Arabidopsis thaliana: one gene and its partner. The protein of the gene in region 1 interacts with the protein of each later gene in a pairwise test. Each region holds a gene or a part of one and is shown on either strand. Other genes may lie near its edges.

The links.
Region 2: the proteins of UBP5 (region 1) and AT2G21830 interact in a two-hybrid assay, tested with the Arabidopsis thaliana proteins (one large-scale study listed by BioGRID).

The regions. Positions count from the first base shown.
Region 1 is NC_003071.7:17,074,571-17,084,161, reverse strand, and holds UBP5 (ubiquitin-specific protease 5), read left to right. Parts: upstream 1-1,633; 5' UTR 1,634-1,969; coding exon 1,970-2,109; intron 2,110-2,427; coding exon 2,428-2,682; intron 2,683-3,056; coding exon 3,057-3,201; intron 3,202-3,302; coding exon 3,303-3,362; intron 3,363-3,469; coding exon 3,470-3,565; intron 3,566-3,761; coding exon 3,762-4,151; intron 4,152-4,543; coding exon 4,544-4,684; intron 4,685-4,763; coding exon 4,764-4,934; intron 4,935-5,423; coding exon 5,424-5,681; intron 5,682-5,762; coding exon 5,763-5,911; intron 5,912-6,162; coding exon 6,163-6,723; intron 6,724-6,947; coding exon 6,948-7,221; intron 7,222-7,313; coding exon 7,314-7,448; 3' UTR 7,449-7,474; exon of another isoform or gene 7,475-7,571; 3' UTR 7,572-7,850; downstream 7,851-9,591. Other genes in the region: AT2G40935 (PLAC8 family protein), read right to left, coding at 1-110, 199-425, 783-963; AT2G40925 (F-box and associated interaction domains-containing protein), read left to right, coding at 8,046-9,257. UniProt on the Arabidopsis thaliana protein: Recognizes and hydrolyzes the peptide bond at the C-terminal Gly of ubiquitin. Involved in the processing of poly-ubiquitin precursors as well as that of ubiquitinated proteins.
Region 2 is NC_003071.7:9,300,383-9,307,075, reverse strand, and holds AT2G21830 (Cysteine/Histidine-rich C1 domain family protein), read right to left. Parts: upstream 3,364-6,693; 5' UTR 3,256-3,363; coding exon 2,203-3,255; intron 2,126-2,202; coding exon 2,027-2,125; intron 1,934-2,026; coding exon 1,376-1,933; 3' UTR 1,051-1,375; downstream 1-1,050. Other genes in the region: AT2G21820 (seed maturation protein), read left to right, coding at 3,857-4,093; AT2G21810 (Cysteine/Histidine-rich C1 domain family protein), read right to left, coding at 4,436-4,822; EME1A (essential meiotic endonuclease 1A), read right to left, coding at 5,331-5,519, 5,620-5,734, 5,811-5,900, 6,020-6,138, 6,234-6,297, 6,369-6,544.

The DNA of each region.
Region 1 (9,591 bases):
ATGTCAAGAGGATATGAACCACTGCTTTGTTCTCGAATCTCTCTGTATTCTTGGCAAATGGCACACAAGTGACAGAAGAAGTGTGTTACAAAATCCCCACATGGAGCCTCCTGAATCAAAGAATGTTAAATCAGTCAGAAGCGCCACATACATACCTAATGGTATTATCCACATATGTGTCGTTTGAGAAATTCTAACCTGTAAATTGTACTTGGCTCTTAATGATTTGCGGTACCCGCAAGCATAACATGACACAAAGCATCCCGGTAGACCGAGCAATGCGCCATTAGTTGCAAAGCAGCAAATGGTATTGACCAAAGCCCAGGAGATGCAATGGGTTAAGCAGGGTCCTGCAAATGTTCCAGACCCCAGAAGCTCTGCGTTTTTGCCAAAGATATAACAAGGACAGAACAAACCTACACAACCTGTGCATACGAAACAAACCACAGTAAGTTGTAATGTTCATTTCAAACCATTGTCTAAATGATCTTCAGCATAAACAAGAAAACAGAATCAAGTCCTAGAGAAGTAACACAAGGAAGCTCAAAACATAAGCAATCTAAGTTTCTTCCTAGCCTATTCAAGAAATGCACTTGGTTATTCTTCTAAACCAAAAAAAACTCTGCAAGAACTATCAACCAGAACCACACTTATCTTTATGAACATATCTGAACACACTAACACATGGCAATTTCACAGGTCAATGCAAAGAGGCACCTTTAACAAATTTGATTCGTGTAGTAAAATGAAGAAGGTTTGGATGACAGAGAGTAGTAGCATACAGCTCTGCATATCGTCGAAGCAAGCGCATATACCAGATGACCATTGTCTCGGATCATCTTTTGTGCTTTCAGAAACAGCAATTTCCAGATTTGGAGTAGTGGTCTCTACTTCAGTATCAGCATCTGACTGTGTTAATGGAATATAAGATGGTGGCACGTAATGACCCTTCTTCTCTTTCATCCTAATTCTGATGAAACCACCAATATCAAGAACAGGACTTTATTTACCACAGAGCCTGAAAATTGACACCAAGAAACACATCTGTACCTTGAATTGCATCAAAATGAACATATATACAATTACTACAACAGCAGCTAAATCAAAAAGGTAGTGAGATGGAGAAGATAAGTAAATGAACGAACAGAGCAAGAAGCAGAGACAAAAAAAGGATCGGAAGAGAGAACAAGACGAATCAGCGAAAACGAGATAAAAGAGTAAACTTTAAACCCAAGAAGAAATAATCAGATACATGTGAATAGAAACAACTCTTTACCTGAGCTCAACGGAGAGATTAGTTTAGCGCATTAACTCAGAGATTCACGAGAAAGAGCTTACTTTTATTTTATTTATTGGTTCCAGAAGAAGAGAGATGGAGTTTCCACGTTGAGTAAATTGACCAGGCCTCTTATCAACATGTTATTTATATATTAATCTCAAAACATCAATTTACGCATTAATAAATTTTTCATTATTAGTAAAATGTTTCTTTCCAACCATTGTTTAAAGTTTCATATCTAACAATTTGAGAAAATAAAAGTTACAAAAAAAAAAAAATCTAACAATTTTAAGATATCTTTTTAAATCAACCTTTTCAATTAGTGCAAGAGCAAAAAAAAAAAATGTTGGTCAACAAAAATTGTTTTTTTTCTTAAATTTATAAATGGTGGTGGATTTTTTTGGGGACCTATTTCGAAATGACTATCTAAGGAGCGAAGCCAGCAAGGATCTGTTTCAGAGAGAAAAAAAAGAGGTTCCGACTTTTTGTTAGCGAGCGGCTCACTCTACTTTGTCTCCCCCAAAAAAGCCGTTAGGGTTTATCATATCCACCGCCTTGCTTTACTCTCGCCGGAGTCGTACGGCGAAGCACGGTTGTTCGGCGTTGTCTCAGCTTTAGATTCTTCTCTTCATAGCTAGAATTCGCGAAAGCTGACTTTAGCTGAAACGAATTTCTCCTAATTTTCGAGATATGGCGGAGGTATCGATGGGAAGCAGCAGTAGCAGCACGGATCTGTCTCCCGAGGAAGAGCGAGTTTTCATCAGAGACATTGCTATTGCTGCTGAGGCTAATAGTAAAGAAGGCGATACATTTTATCTCATCACTCAGAGGTTTATAAAGCTTTGATTTTTGCTCCCTATGGTCACTTGTAGCTTGAATTTATCAAATTCCCAAGAGTTATATCTATCTGTTCGTCTTGTTTGGTTGCCTTGGTTTCGGACTTGGTTAGGGTTAGAGTTACGATTAGGGATTGGGTTATCTGTAGTAGTTGATGAGATTAGTTTGAGCATTTCATAACCTTTTCCAAAGAACTGTCTTTTATTGACTCATGTTTATGGGTATTGTATTAGATTACAACCATTGTGATAAAGTTTGAATTTTCTCTTATGGTACTTCTGCTGAGAACATTCTCTCTCTTTTCTGTCCAGATGGTGGCAAGAATGGATTGAGTATGTGAATCAAGACCAACCATGTAACACAAATGATGGGTCTTCACTGTCAGAGCATTGCGACTCTCCTGGTTCAAGCACTCTAAAGAAGCCTTCTAGGATTGATAACTCTGATTTGATCTATGATTCTTCGCTGGAGGACCCGAGTAATACCAGTGAGATTATTGAAACACTTCAGGAAGGTCGTGATTATGTTTTGCTCCCTCAAGAAGTGTGGAACCAATTGCGTTCATGGTGAGTTTTAAGTGTAGAAGAATTGAACTGATATTAAATTTTACGTCTCTTCATCTTATGTGGGCTAGACTTATTTTTATCCCTATTCTAGTGCTTTTGATTTTCCTTGGTTATCTTTGGTATGTTGGGTCATGTTTATCTAACATTCCTCAAATGGATAATGCTAAGGTTAAGTCAGATGTGTAGCTCTACCAAGTTCATCTTGTATGCACCTGATGTTATTTAGTTGCTTTCTCTCCTATGTTGATTTGTAATGCATAATATGAAACTAATAACGCAATCTCTTGGTTTTCTTATTTACTACACTATAGTTTGGCTTTTTTCACTTAAACTGATTATATGGTTCTTATGGACTATTGCTTCTGTTTTATAAGGTACGGGGGTGGTCCAACTCTGGCACGGAGAGTCATTAGCTCAGGTCTCTCTCAAACAGAATTGGCTGTAGAGGTTTACCCTTTACGTCTTCAGCTACTTCTGATGCCAAAAAGTGACCATAGTGCCATAAGAATTAGCAAAAAGGTTATCCTCTTTTCTGTTCTTTTTTTTTCTTTGTTCATTACTTGAAAATCTGAACTCGTTTAGTCTGCTACTTCATTGAACTATCAAACTTTGTTGTGCAGGAAACTATCAGAGAGCTCCATCGAAGAGCCTGTGAAATTTTTGACCTCGACTCAGAGCATGTAAAGATCTGATATTCCTATGTTATTAAACAGCCCGTTTCAATAATACTTTTGGTATTCTTTTCTTTCCCTTTCTCTTTCTTACATGAGCATTTTCTATCATGTAGGTACGCATTTGGGATTACTACGGCCACCAAAAGTATTCTTTGATGAATGACTTAGATAAGACACTGGACGATGCTAACCTACAAATGGATCAGGATGTGAGTTCACTTCTTCTTCTTCTTCTTTTTGCTTTCAAAGTTATTAGCTATTTGAATATAAATTTTTTATGCTTCAGTCCGATTGTTTAGTTAGCCTAAGCTTAAGGTTTTATAGCTCTCTGACTTTTATCTTTTCTGGTGTTCTTACTGACTCGTTAACTTTCCCACTGATTTTGTGTCTGTCGTTTAAAAACAGATTTTGGTGGAGGTGCTTGACATCAATGGTACATTATCAAGTGCTCACATTCAATCTGCTCAAGAGAACGGATTGGTGGATGGAGACTCTACTTCTATTCTCATTGAGCCTTCTAAATCGAGCTTGGCTGCCGCAGGAGGGTTCTCTTCAAGCAGGAATGCATTCAGAACTGGTAGTGTAGAAGTTTCACAATCTTTTGATAACACATACAGTAGCACTGGCGTCACCACTAGGGGATCCACAGCTGGCTTGACAGGGCTGCTAAATCTTGGGAATACTTGTTTCATGAATAGTGCGATTCAGTGTCTGGTTCATACACCTGAGTTTGCTAGTTACTTTCAAGAAGATTATCATCAAGAAATAAATTGGCAAAACCCTCTTGGAATGGTGGTAAGTTCCTCTTGAAGTTCTTTGCTACTCATAAATCTGATGGATACATAAGTGTGTGTGTAGGTTTAAGTGTATAGGTATGCTTAGACATCATTGGTTCACTTGTGTTTCCCTGTTGCACGTAAAATCTTTTGCAGTATTGTATGTTTGGGGTTGTGCTTTCGTCCCAAACATTCTTGATAGGCTTAATTTTGCATATAAATGGAATAACGTTGGAATATATAAGACATCTTATATCATCAGAAGTTACATTAGAAGTTGATTAGGGTAGTGTTCCTTGGCAGGTAATCAGTGTTATTTTCTCGCGTAGATCACAAGCATTGTTTCTTTCTGAGATATTGAGTAGTTGATTTCAGATCATTTCTTGACTGTATTGAAATCATTTTGCACAGGGGGAATTAGCTCTCGCATTTGGTGACTTGCTCAGGAAGTTATGGGCTCCTGGGCGGACACCAATTGCACCTCGTCCATTCAAAGCTAAACTTGCTCGCTTTGCTCCTCAATTTAGTGGGTACAATCAACATGATTCGCAGGTTTGTGAGACTAGCCAGATATTTTCTTTAACCTGAATTTACATTGTAGCTCAAGGAATTCGAGTTTTTCATTTTGCAGGAGCTTTTAGCGTTTCTGCTGGATGGTCTTCACGAGGACCTAAATCGTGTTAAACACAAACCATATATAAATTCTCGAGACGCAGATGGGCGCCCTGATGAAGAAGTTGCTGATGAGTTCTGGAAAAATCATATTGCTCGTAATGACTCAATAATAGTTGATGTTTGTCAGGTCAGCTGTATATCTTTTAGAAAATCCAACGCTTCTCTGTTTATCAACTCATGGCATTGAAACTGATACTAGTATTGTGGATTAGGCTTGCATTTGGTTATAACGTCTAGGAATCTGCTGTATGGTCACTCAACTAATAGACACGAGTAACCGACATTCCAGTCCCTTTTGCTTTTTAGTGGCTCTGTAGAAAGTTAATTATATCAGAAGAGTTAAATTGGCCTAGTAAAAATACTGTATACATTTGCAATTTTCACAGAAACACGGTATTTGAAGAGGGTACATAACTTGTCTCTGTTCCTATTGAATTTAGTCTTGATATTTATGTTAATCTCGGTTGTGTGAGTGCATCCATCATGTATCAGCTTTATATGTAGCTGATTTTTAGCTTGTGATTCAGACCCAGGGTATATTGTTATTTTTTGTTTTGGTTTTAATTTTTAATACTGTGGGGAATCTCATTCTCCTACTCTGTTTGTCAACTCACAGGGCCAATATAAGTCAACATTGGTGTGTCCAATCTGCAACAAGGTTTCTGTAACGTTTGATCCCTTCATGTACCTGTCTTTGCCGCTGCAGTTCAACACAACACGAGCAATAACAGTCACAGTTTTTTCTTGTGATAAAACTGCCTTACCTTCCACTATCACAGTCAATGTTTCAAAGCAGGGACGTTGCAGAGACTTGATCCAGGCATTAACAAATGCTTGTTCCTTGAAGCAAAGTGAAGAGCTGAAACTTGCAGAGGTTTGTGGCTTCAAGTGCGTTTTTGAGTAAGATGTTGATCTTTTGGCTTCCGCTTATCTAAGTTTAATATGTTTTTCGCAGATTCGGAATAATTTTATCCATAGATTATTTGAAGACCCTTTAATTCCGTTGTCAAGTATCAAAGATGATGACCACCTTGCTGCATACAAACTTTCAAAGTCTTCGGAGAATACGACTTTGCTTAGACTAGTACTCCGCCGCAGAGATCAGTAAGTTAAATATCAGTCTAATTTGTATGAACTAATTCTGGGGATTAGTTTGAAACAACAAAGTCCTCTTCTGTACTCAACATCTTTGGATTTCCTTTCTTAAAACTTCAAGACTTTCTTTTCTTTAAGGCCTCACTTCTTCAGTCTTTGATTTCTGAATAATTTTTGAATCCTTGATTAATGCTGATCTGAGAAAGGTATCTTATATTCTGTTTGCTCTCTTCTTTATCTTTTCTTGTACCATGTTTTAGGAAAGCTGGGGAACGTGAAAGTACAGTACAATTGAAACCCTGTGGAACACCTCTTCTCTCATCAGCTTCATGCGGAGATGCACTCACCAAAGGAAAAATCCATTGCCTCGTCCAGAATATGCTTTCACCTTTTCGGAGGGAAGAATCTGTGGGCAAAAAAGGAAATTCTGATTCTAGCATCCCCGAGAGAAGGTCAGCTCGATTTAATAATACTGAGGAAGAAGATAAAGTTGGTGGACTGAAAAAAGCCAAGAAAAGCAACTCCTCCGACTTGGGTGCTTCTAAATTATCCCTGCAACTCATTGATGAAGACAACAAAACGATTAATCTGCCAGACAATGAAGCAGAAGCTATGAAATTACCGTCATCAGCTACTGTAACTATATATTTGGATTGGACACCAGAACTCTCTGGTATGTATGATATAACTTGCCTGGAGAGTTTGCCTGAAGTACTCAAATACGGACCTACTACCAAGAAGGCTCGTTCAGAACCTCTTTCTTTATATGCATGTTTGGAAGCGTTTCTACGCGAAGAGCCTTTGGTACCTGACGAAATGTGGTAAGCAGTCTTTTCTCCTTATCCTTCCTGTGAGACTCATTTTTTATGGTTTGTGGTAAAAGTTGAACTACGCATTACTACAAGATGATGAATGATGTTCAGAAATTGCTAGTGTCTACTACGGATGGAAGTTGAACACACTGTATTTTTGCAGTAGATTTTAGCCAGTATCTTCTACTTAGCTGACTAAATCAATCAATGGTATCATTTCTCTTTTTTTGAAGGTTCTGTCCACAATGCAATGAAAGAAGGCAGGCAAGCAAAAAGCTTGATCTGTGGAGGCTTCCTGAGGTCTTAGTCATACATCTAAAGAGATTCTCATACAGCAGGTCCATGAAGCATAAGTTGGAAACATTTGTTAACTTTCCCATTCATGACTTAGATCTAACAAAGTATGTAGCCAACAAAAACCTATCTCAACCTCAACTATATGAGCTCTATGCCTTGACCAACCATTATGGTGGTATGGGCAGCGGACACTACACTGCACATATCAAGGTCAGTTCGAACAACTAAACTTTTTCATTCTGTTTCCATTTCTGAGTTTCTTGCTTGTTTTTCTTATGTTTATTATCGAATATGGTCTGCAGCTTTTGGACGACAGTAGGTGGTATAACTTCGATGATAGCCATATATCACACATAAACGAAGATGATGTGAAGTCAGGTGCTGCATATGTGCTCTTCTACAGGAGGAAGTCTGATGCAGGCGGAAAAATGACATAAGTCTGCTCAAAACGACAATCTCCGAGGTAACAAATACCAAATTTAATTCTAAAAAGATTCTTAAAAGAAGTTTAGTTAGATCACTGAAACGTAGTTGTGGACTTGTGTTTACGCGTCTTGCAGGTTCCAGTAGTAATCTCTACACAGCTGTCTGCAACTTGGAACCCATAAGAGTGACAATTAGGTTTAGATCTATTGTAAATTAGTGGAGTTGGGTTCTGAGTAGTTTAATTAACAGAGATGAATATTGTCTCTCCTTCTCTGTCAGTTTCTGTATAGATTGTGTTTGGCATAATAGCAGTACTGTTATTGTCACTGACACATAATCACAAGACTCAGTCTAAATATGTAGTAGACAAGGTTTTTTATCTAGTTTGCCCAAAAACAAAAAGACAAGTTTCTTAATGGGCTTTGTTGAACGAATGGGCTTAAAAAATCAACGCTAGCCTCCTTGATATCTCCACCAACCGTGACCGGGAAACATGAAAGAACTTCCTCTTCCTAATTAGTAAGAACAAGAGTACTTAGGGTTTTGATATAAGTTTGTGGGTAGCGCTTTGTCAAAATCTATTGGGTTTGGTTTTTCGTCCAGCAGTCATGCAACGAGAGAGGAGTATGAAGAGGAAGAGAAGAAGAAGAGGAATCAAAGATATGTGCAATAGGCACGACTGCGAGATCCCTCCTGATCTCATGATAGAAATTCTTATAAGATTGCCAACAAAGTCCTTTATGAGGTTCAAGTGCGTCTCAAAGCAGTGGTCACCCCTTATCTCTGGTCGATATTTTTGCAACCGTTTATTTACTTGTGTAACACGACAACAACAACAACAACCACGTCTATACATGTGTTTAGTGGCCAAAGACAAGCAATGTGTTCTACTATCATCAACGTCACCGGACAACACTTGTTTTGTACTCGTCGACCAAGATTTGAGCATCCCAGGCTACTTCTTCGCCTCTGTTCCTGGCTTGCTGTGTTTCCAGTTCGGAACAAAGGCGTGTATCTATAACCCTAGCACCAAACAACTCTTGACCTTACCCTCCGTAAAATCCGACATCACAGCTCAACAAGGTCAACTGAAGACTACCCAATACTATATTGGACGCGATCCTGTTAATGATCAATACAAACTAGTCTGCACTATTCTGATATACTCGAAATTGTTTGCAAACATGAGCTCAGAGCATTGGGTCTTCACACTAGAACTTGGAGGTTCCTGGAAAAAAGTTGTTCCACTGGGAAATTATCATCCCCATGCTCCTGCCACAGCAGGACGGTCTATCGATGGAGTAGTACATTATCTAGCCTGGGTTGATTTGTACAAGTGTGCGGTTGTGAGTTTCAACATTAGGTCTGAAGAGGTTACTACCTTCCTATTACCTCGGAAAATCTGGGATGTGCCTGTGCCTGCACTGATGATGAAGGCGGATCTTATAGAGTATGATGGAAAATTAGCAATTTTCAGTCATAGCTACCTTAAAGACGAGGGTTTGGTAGAATTATGGGTATTGAAAGACGCTGCTGGGAAGAAGAAATGGTCCAATATGATCCTGGTTTTGCAGCCTTGCCAAAGGCATTTAGTCCATGGCATTGATTTGATCGTAAAAGGTACAACTCAAGACGGCAAGGTTATACTGTCACCCTTGGAGATGCGTTCTCAGTTCTACATTCTGTGTTATGATGTGCAAAACAATGATTTGAGAAAGGTTGAAATCACAGGAGTACCACGCCTTTGGTTGCATAAAGAATGCAATTTTGACTTGAAGTTTATGGATGAGAGTGAGAGCTTCATCTACTTGGAAATTTGACCAATACTTTTGACTTTTGTTTGTGTACCAGATAAGAATACAGTTAAGTTTTTTTTTTTTCTTCTGTCAAGATTAGTCTCCTACCCATAAATCCACCGAACCCTCGTTAACATTTATTATCAATCAAGAACACAAAAGAGAAGCACTCTACTAATTTGAGAAAGCGCTTTATGCTTATCTCGGTTTCATGAATGACAGTTGTTGTTTATATGGTCAAAGTTAAAAGGGTCTGCTTCATTCTTCACCATCTTTTGTAGAGACAACAAGATGATGCCTGCTCTAACAAACAAGCATGTGCCAAAAAATAATCATCTGTGCTCTTCTATACACACTA
Region 2 (6,693 bases), 7.8 Mb from region 1:
CAAGTGTGTATACCTGATTTAATAGTGAGTTTCTCTGATTGTTTGTGTGGAATATTGTTGTTTTGATGTTGTTTCTTTCTTATTTTTGCTTTTTCGAGAAAATACTTGCATTTTGTTTTTCGCATAATCAAGCTTTTGTGTTCGGAAAACCATAGATATAGTGTGAAGCTTAAGCTTCTATCTGGAATTTCCGACAAAACGTCAGGAACGTGATTTTACTTTGAGTCTTCTCCATATTGAATGAACAGGCTTTGAGGAATTATATTGTAAGTGTGAATACAGTGGGAGATGCTTGCTTGAGAACAAGCTGCAGTTGCCTGACGTTTTGTACTACAGATAAAGAATCATTCTCTCTTTTTGTACTACAGAAACGTAGAATTGCCTCGAATTGGATGCAAGGATTCCTGAGAAGCCTTAATTTGCCTCCCATGACGAGTTTTCGAGGGAAGGAGCTTTGTCATGAAACAGCGGAAGACTTGTTTGTTAGTTGGTTGGAAATATTCCTGAAACTTTCCGTTTCATTGCATCAGACTGCGCAATAAAGAATCTGCACACCTCATGTGAATGTAAAAACCGCATTCTAGACAACCAAACGGGACACTTTCAATCTTGTCCCTACACGCACCACAAAATGTTCGACCACCACTTCATATGTAATCAAGGCCTCTAAGAGGGTGTTTCGGATGCACGCGATGTTGACTCTCTGTTGGAAGATCAATGCAACGCTCGTGGAGAAACAAGTAACAGGAAACACAACCGTAGCATGTATAAGAGGGAGACAAAGGGAGCTCACAAAGCAGGCAAGAGCCTCTAGCGTCTTGTCCTGGTCTACACCTTCGAAGCAAATGTTCATGACTGTACTGAAGCATTTCTCTAACAACTTGTGATAATGTTCTTCAGTAGGCACAACCAAGATCAAGATAGACCTCACGTTCGTAAAATGAGCAAGAATACATATTCCCACAACCAGAGCAGACAATATATTGGTGACCTATGACTAGTATAGTATGGGTGATAAAATTGCATAGGCGACAGAAGAGATTGAACCCTTCTATATCATTCATGCAAATGTTACAATTCATAACAACTCCTGCACCTGCAGGGGCCGCTGGCTTTTCCAATGGAAACACTGAACTTTGTGTATTATGTCACCAAGATTACATAAGAAAAACACCATTGGAACTGGAAAAACGATAATGGAATCCAAAACAGAGGATTGAAAATACATAGTGTGCCAAAAACAAAGAAAACAGAACAAGAAATAAACAGAGCAAATAAACATATTACAAACATGATTTACTAACCGACAAAATTTTAGAGGTATATAACATAACAAGAAGTTGCAGAACTTAGTTTCAGAGGAGGAACAACCTAACTACGAAGAATCACGGTCTTTGATACGATGTCGGTCAATACACCGAAGATGATAAATCGTTTCACACTCCATACATGACACAGCCTTCCCAAGCACCCTCTCATGACAAATAATACAAACTTTTTGATATGACCTCGGGAACATAACTTGGACCATTCTATGCTTGCCTCCCAAACAACGTCCTCTCCAAGTTCCAACGACTTTCGGTCCTGTCATCCCAAGAAAACGTTTACCTTTCATGGCGCAACTGACGTGGATAATAAAATTGCATATTCGACAAAATAGATTGAACCCTTTTATATCCTCTCTGCAGCTTTTACAACTCGTCATATCCGTAGCAACTGGTTTTGGCATGAGTGTCAAAAGATGGTTCCAATGAAACCGATGTCTTGATGGTTTCCCTAGCTCCACACAGAAGTTATGTGTCACAAAGTTGCAAGTCTCGCATTTCCATGGATTACCAAGTATTTCTTTTTCACATATGTGACAATGTTCTTTGCCTTCAAGCTCACACATATCAATCGATGTCACCACATGATTATGGTTGATATCATGAACCTGCAACATATACCTTACACGTTTGAGACAAAAGGCTGGCTTAAAATGATGTTCATACTTTTCTTCCACTGATAGATAATTATAAAGCCATACCATAACTTTGTTGGTTTCATAGTCTTCTTGGTTTGTTGCTCTTTTGACGTCTTCAACACAAGAATACAGATCCTTCAAGTACAATGGTGATGGCTCTTTCTGTAGTTTGTAGATATAGATCATCAGCATTGCATCATTATTAAGAAACAAAAAAACACAAAAACGATATTGATTACCTCGCGTAGAATGCATTCAATGTGACCAAGAAAATCACATTCTTCGCACGAATAAACATGATGTCCGGCATGAATCAATGTCTCGCAAACGCCACAGTACTCCAAAGAATCATCCTCTTCACGTACTCTTTTACAAACAAGTGGATGAATGTGACAAGATCTCTTAGAAATGGTCTTGGAAATCCCAAGGCATTCGAAATGAAACTCCAATTCACATTCGATGCAGTGGTAGTAAGAATCGAGAGAGCTCACTACAGCTCCCAAGCATATTTGGCAACAATTGTTTCTTCCAAAATGTTCTTTAGCATTCGAAGATACATAAAACAATTTATGCTCATGAGATTCATGCATCAGACAGCGCAAAAACGAATCTGCACACCTCATGTGAATGTAAAAACCACATTCTAGGCAGCCAAAGGGGACACTGTCAATCTTCTCTCTACACGCACCGCAAAATGTTCGACCACCACTTCGTATGTAATCAAGGCGTCTGAGAGGGTGTTCCAGATGCACGGGATGTCGAATCTCTGTCGGAAGATCGAGACAGCGCTCGTGGAGAAACGAGTAACAGTAAACACAACCGTAACATATAGAAGAGGGAGAAAGAGGGAGCTCACAAAGCAGGCAAGAGCCTCTAGCATCTTGTCCTGGTTTACACCTTCGAAGCAAATGTTCATGACTGTAATGAAGCATTTCTCTAACGTCCCAACCAGTGAAAACGTTCTTCAGTAGTGCACAACCGAGATCAAGATAGATCTCACATTCTTTACATTCATAGAATGAGCAAGAAGACATGTTCCCACAACAAGAGCAGACAATGTAACCAGGTTTTCGATCATATTGGAATAGAGAAAACTCAAGAGGATGATCTGAGTGAAAACCATGTGACACCTTTTGCGGCAGCTTGGAGCAAGTCTTACATATATCAAAATTGCAAGGCTTACATGCGTATTCAACAACTTGGTCTTGGAAGCAAATGTTGCAGATGCCTTCAGCTACAATCTCCGGCGAGGTCAAAGGGCATGAGTGGGAGAAATGCTCGAGTTTTCCCATGGGGAAGAAGCAAGATTGGAATCTTGATCTAAGAGTACCATTAGATAACACAGTAATCTTGATCAAAGAACCTTCATGATTCAAAATCCCAAAAGCATAACTAATTGTGAGGTCGACAGAGAGAGAGAGAGTAATAAATTAGTGGCTCAATAATTGTTTCTCAACGTGGTGTGGTTGGAAAATTTAATATTTTTTATTTCGTTTACTGACCATGCTTAATTGGATTCTATTGAGCCCATTTTTTTTTTTTTGGTATCATTATGGTAATTGAAGTAATAATGATACTTAAAATTGTTATTGAATATGAAACTTAAAAATTGATGAAGAGTCTTCTCAGTGTGAAGTACCTTTCACTAGACAGTTCTTTATTCATAAGCATGTTCGATAACATATCAAGAAGCATAAATCCAACAGATGATAAGGGTCAAAGACGACTTCTTTTGGCTAACTTACGACACGTGACCAACAAGATAGGTCTAGACTTCTGAAGAACTGCCACGTCTTGGCAAGGTGGCAGGTTTTAAGACCATGGCTTGAGGGCATAAATAAGTTTTGTGGACAAAAGGGGAAAATGAGTTAAGAAGGATCGGTATCATCAACGATGTCGGGAGCACAAGGAGCAGAGCCGATGGATTCAAGAACGGCGACAACGTACGAGTCAGTGGAAGGAGGACAGAACAAGACGAAGCTTGATATAAGGTCAAAGGAAGACGAAGGTGGGATTCAAGTTGACAAGCTTCAAGACAAGGTCTCTGATGCTGCTGGTCTTGGCGGACCTGTCTTTGGTGCTGGTAAAGACGACAAGAAGCAGGATCTTGGTGTTACCGGTACCGGCTAGGTCTCTGTAAAATATGTTCAGATACGGTCCTGTCATAGTCATGTAATATTAAAAACATGTTTTGAGTAGAAAACTAATCAATAAAAGTCTTTTATGAGAAAACAATGAAACCTAACATTCAGACTCTTTATTATGAACCAAATCAAACTGTGTCCTCTTAAAAAACCAATAGGATCTGTGTATGAAAAAACAGAGAAGCAAGATCAAATAGGACCTTCACAAAACCAACCAAGAGTAAAACACCTAAACTTATAACAACACAAGGAAATAACATGTGTTGAATCCTGAGACAGAACCAGTATGGTAGCTCTCAATACACAGGATGATATATCTCTTCACACGTCATACATGACACAGCTTTCCCAAACAAAAACTCCAAGTTCCAGTGAATTTCTGCCTTAAAGCTTCAAGAACATGTTTACTTTTCAAGGCACAGTTGATGTGGATAACAAAAGTACATATACGGCAGAAGAGATTGAAATCGTATATATTCTCTCTGCAAATGTCACATTTCATCTTTTCCTGTGAAGGATACTTTGTCAACAGTGTCAAAGGATGGTTCTGATGAAATCGATGTCTTGATGGTCGCCCCAACTCCACACAGTACTGATGTGTCTCGAAGCGGCAGGTCTCACATTTCCATGGGTTACCAAGTATGTTTCCTCCACATATCTTGCAATATGGATATTTATCAAGAGCACTCATGAGGACTGGTTTCATAACATGCATATGCCATATATCATTAACCTACCTGAAGCAATTAGCCAAAACGAGAAAAAGTGTTTTTAGTTTTCATGAGCGTGATTGATTATGTAAAAGTCATACTGTAGTTTGTTTTCCAAGTTGTTGGTTCCAGAGGTTTCTTGATCTATTGATCTCATGGTAACTTTGCTAGAAGAATACAAAACTTTCAAGTACAACGGCGAAGGCTTTTCCTGTTGATTATGAGTATGAGTAGCTTTTCATCATCAATAAGAAAAGAAAAGAAGAAAACAGAATTGTAATGAAAAGAAGAAAACAGAATTGCAACTCTACAAGTCAAGCACTCAAAACCACTTGCCAGAAAATATATCATTATCTTTACTCTTTAGAAAACGAGTCAGGACTACACACATTAAAGACTTCAAACAACATAATGAACTTTGCATGCATATACAAAAAAAAATCTCAGACACAATCATTCTTCTGTTTTGTTTGACATAGAAAGTTAAGAACCTATTTGATGTTCTCTCTAGTTCTAAATTAAGTCAGATGGAGGAAGTGTGAAGGAAGCAGCACCATTTTCGACGTCATCAGTCTTAATGGTTCCATCTAAAGACATAAGCACTCTGTATATCCGCTTCGAACAGGCCTCACCTACACTTGTGTCTCTTCCTACTAAATTTTCCACTTTCAAGTCTTTCAGTAGAAACTCCTTCTCATGAACCTGGTCCCCAATTTTGTTAACCAACACAACACAATTTGCATCAGAAGCCATTAGAAACAACAACTCAAGAAGTCAATATCCGTAGTTTGTGTTAACTCACCGATATGTTAGGATCCATATAAACCTTAAGAAGTGACTTCAAGGATGGGTATTTCTTTGACACTGCTATAGCGTATCTTGGCTGTACCTTTGGTATTGCTACCAACACTTTCAACCTATCGATCCAATGCATATTAAACAAAGAAGGTGATTTCTAAAAAGATTATTGAAACTGGGTTTAGATTACTCTACCATATGCTCTCTCTAATCAAGTGCTTATCAGCTGCATTCTTGGACATTAATGTACCATCAGCGTATACTGATAACCGAGTTAACTTCTTCCTGCGCATCAGACAGTTTTGCTTCAGAATCAAGGTCATCAAGAAAATGGAATTTCCACTGGGCATCATATCGAATCAAAATCTTTGGAAACAAAATTGAAATAGCATAGATATCAATACCTGACTTGGCAATGGGCCAGACTACTTGTTAACCGAACAACATGGTCAGCCACCTCAGCCTCGTCTACACAATGCCGGGAATGTACTCCAATATAGTGAGTTGATAACTTCGCAATTGCCTGTAACACATCAGAGCTTTATTAAAGACATCAAAGGAGCATTAAGGATTTTTTTTTTTTCCCTCTAGACACATTTTGATTAGGAACTGTAGTACCTCATCAATAGGAGGCTTTCTCCAACCACAGCCATTTACAGGGTCCTTGTACTCAACCCTTTCCCTAGAAGATAGAGTTGTTTAGCTTCAGTATGGAAACATTAATGCAACAAAAATGTACCTTCTCAAACGCACTTTTTGTTTACGTAGGACAGTAACTTATTGGTGAGGTAGCACATTGTATAAGATGGGTATTCGTCACGAACTCTGTAGACGTTTTCTAGAAGTTCTTTCTTAGCAACAAGATTACAAAAGTCTTCAGCCTCATACAAGAGTAAAACATATGGAATCTTGGACCCTAGAGGCAATGACTGCAATAGATCAAAGAAGATGCAAATGAAGAGTATAAGAAATACTAGGTAAAGCTGATTCACATAATAATCTTCTAAGGCCCTACAGGCCATCACAAAAGGGATTCATTTCTTTACATTTAATATTTCATCATCTGTAACCCAATTCC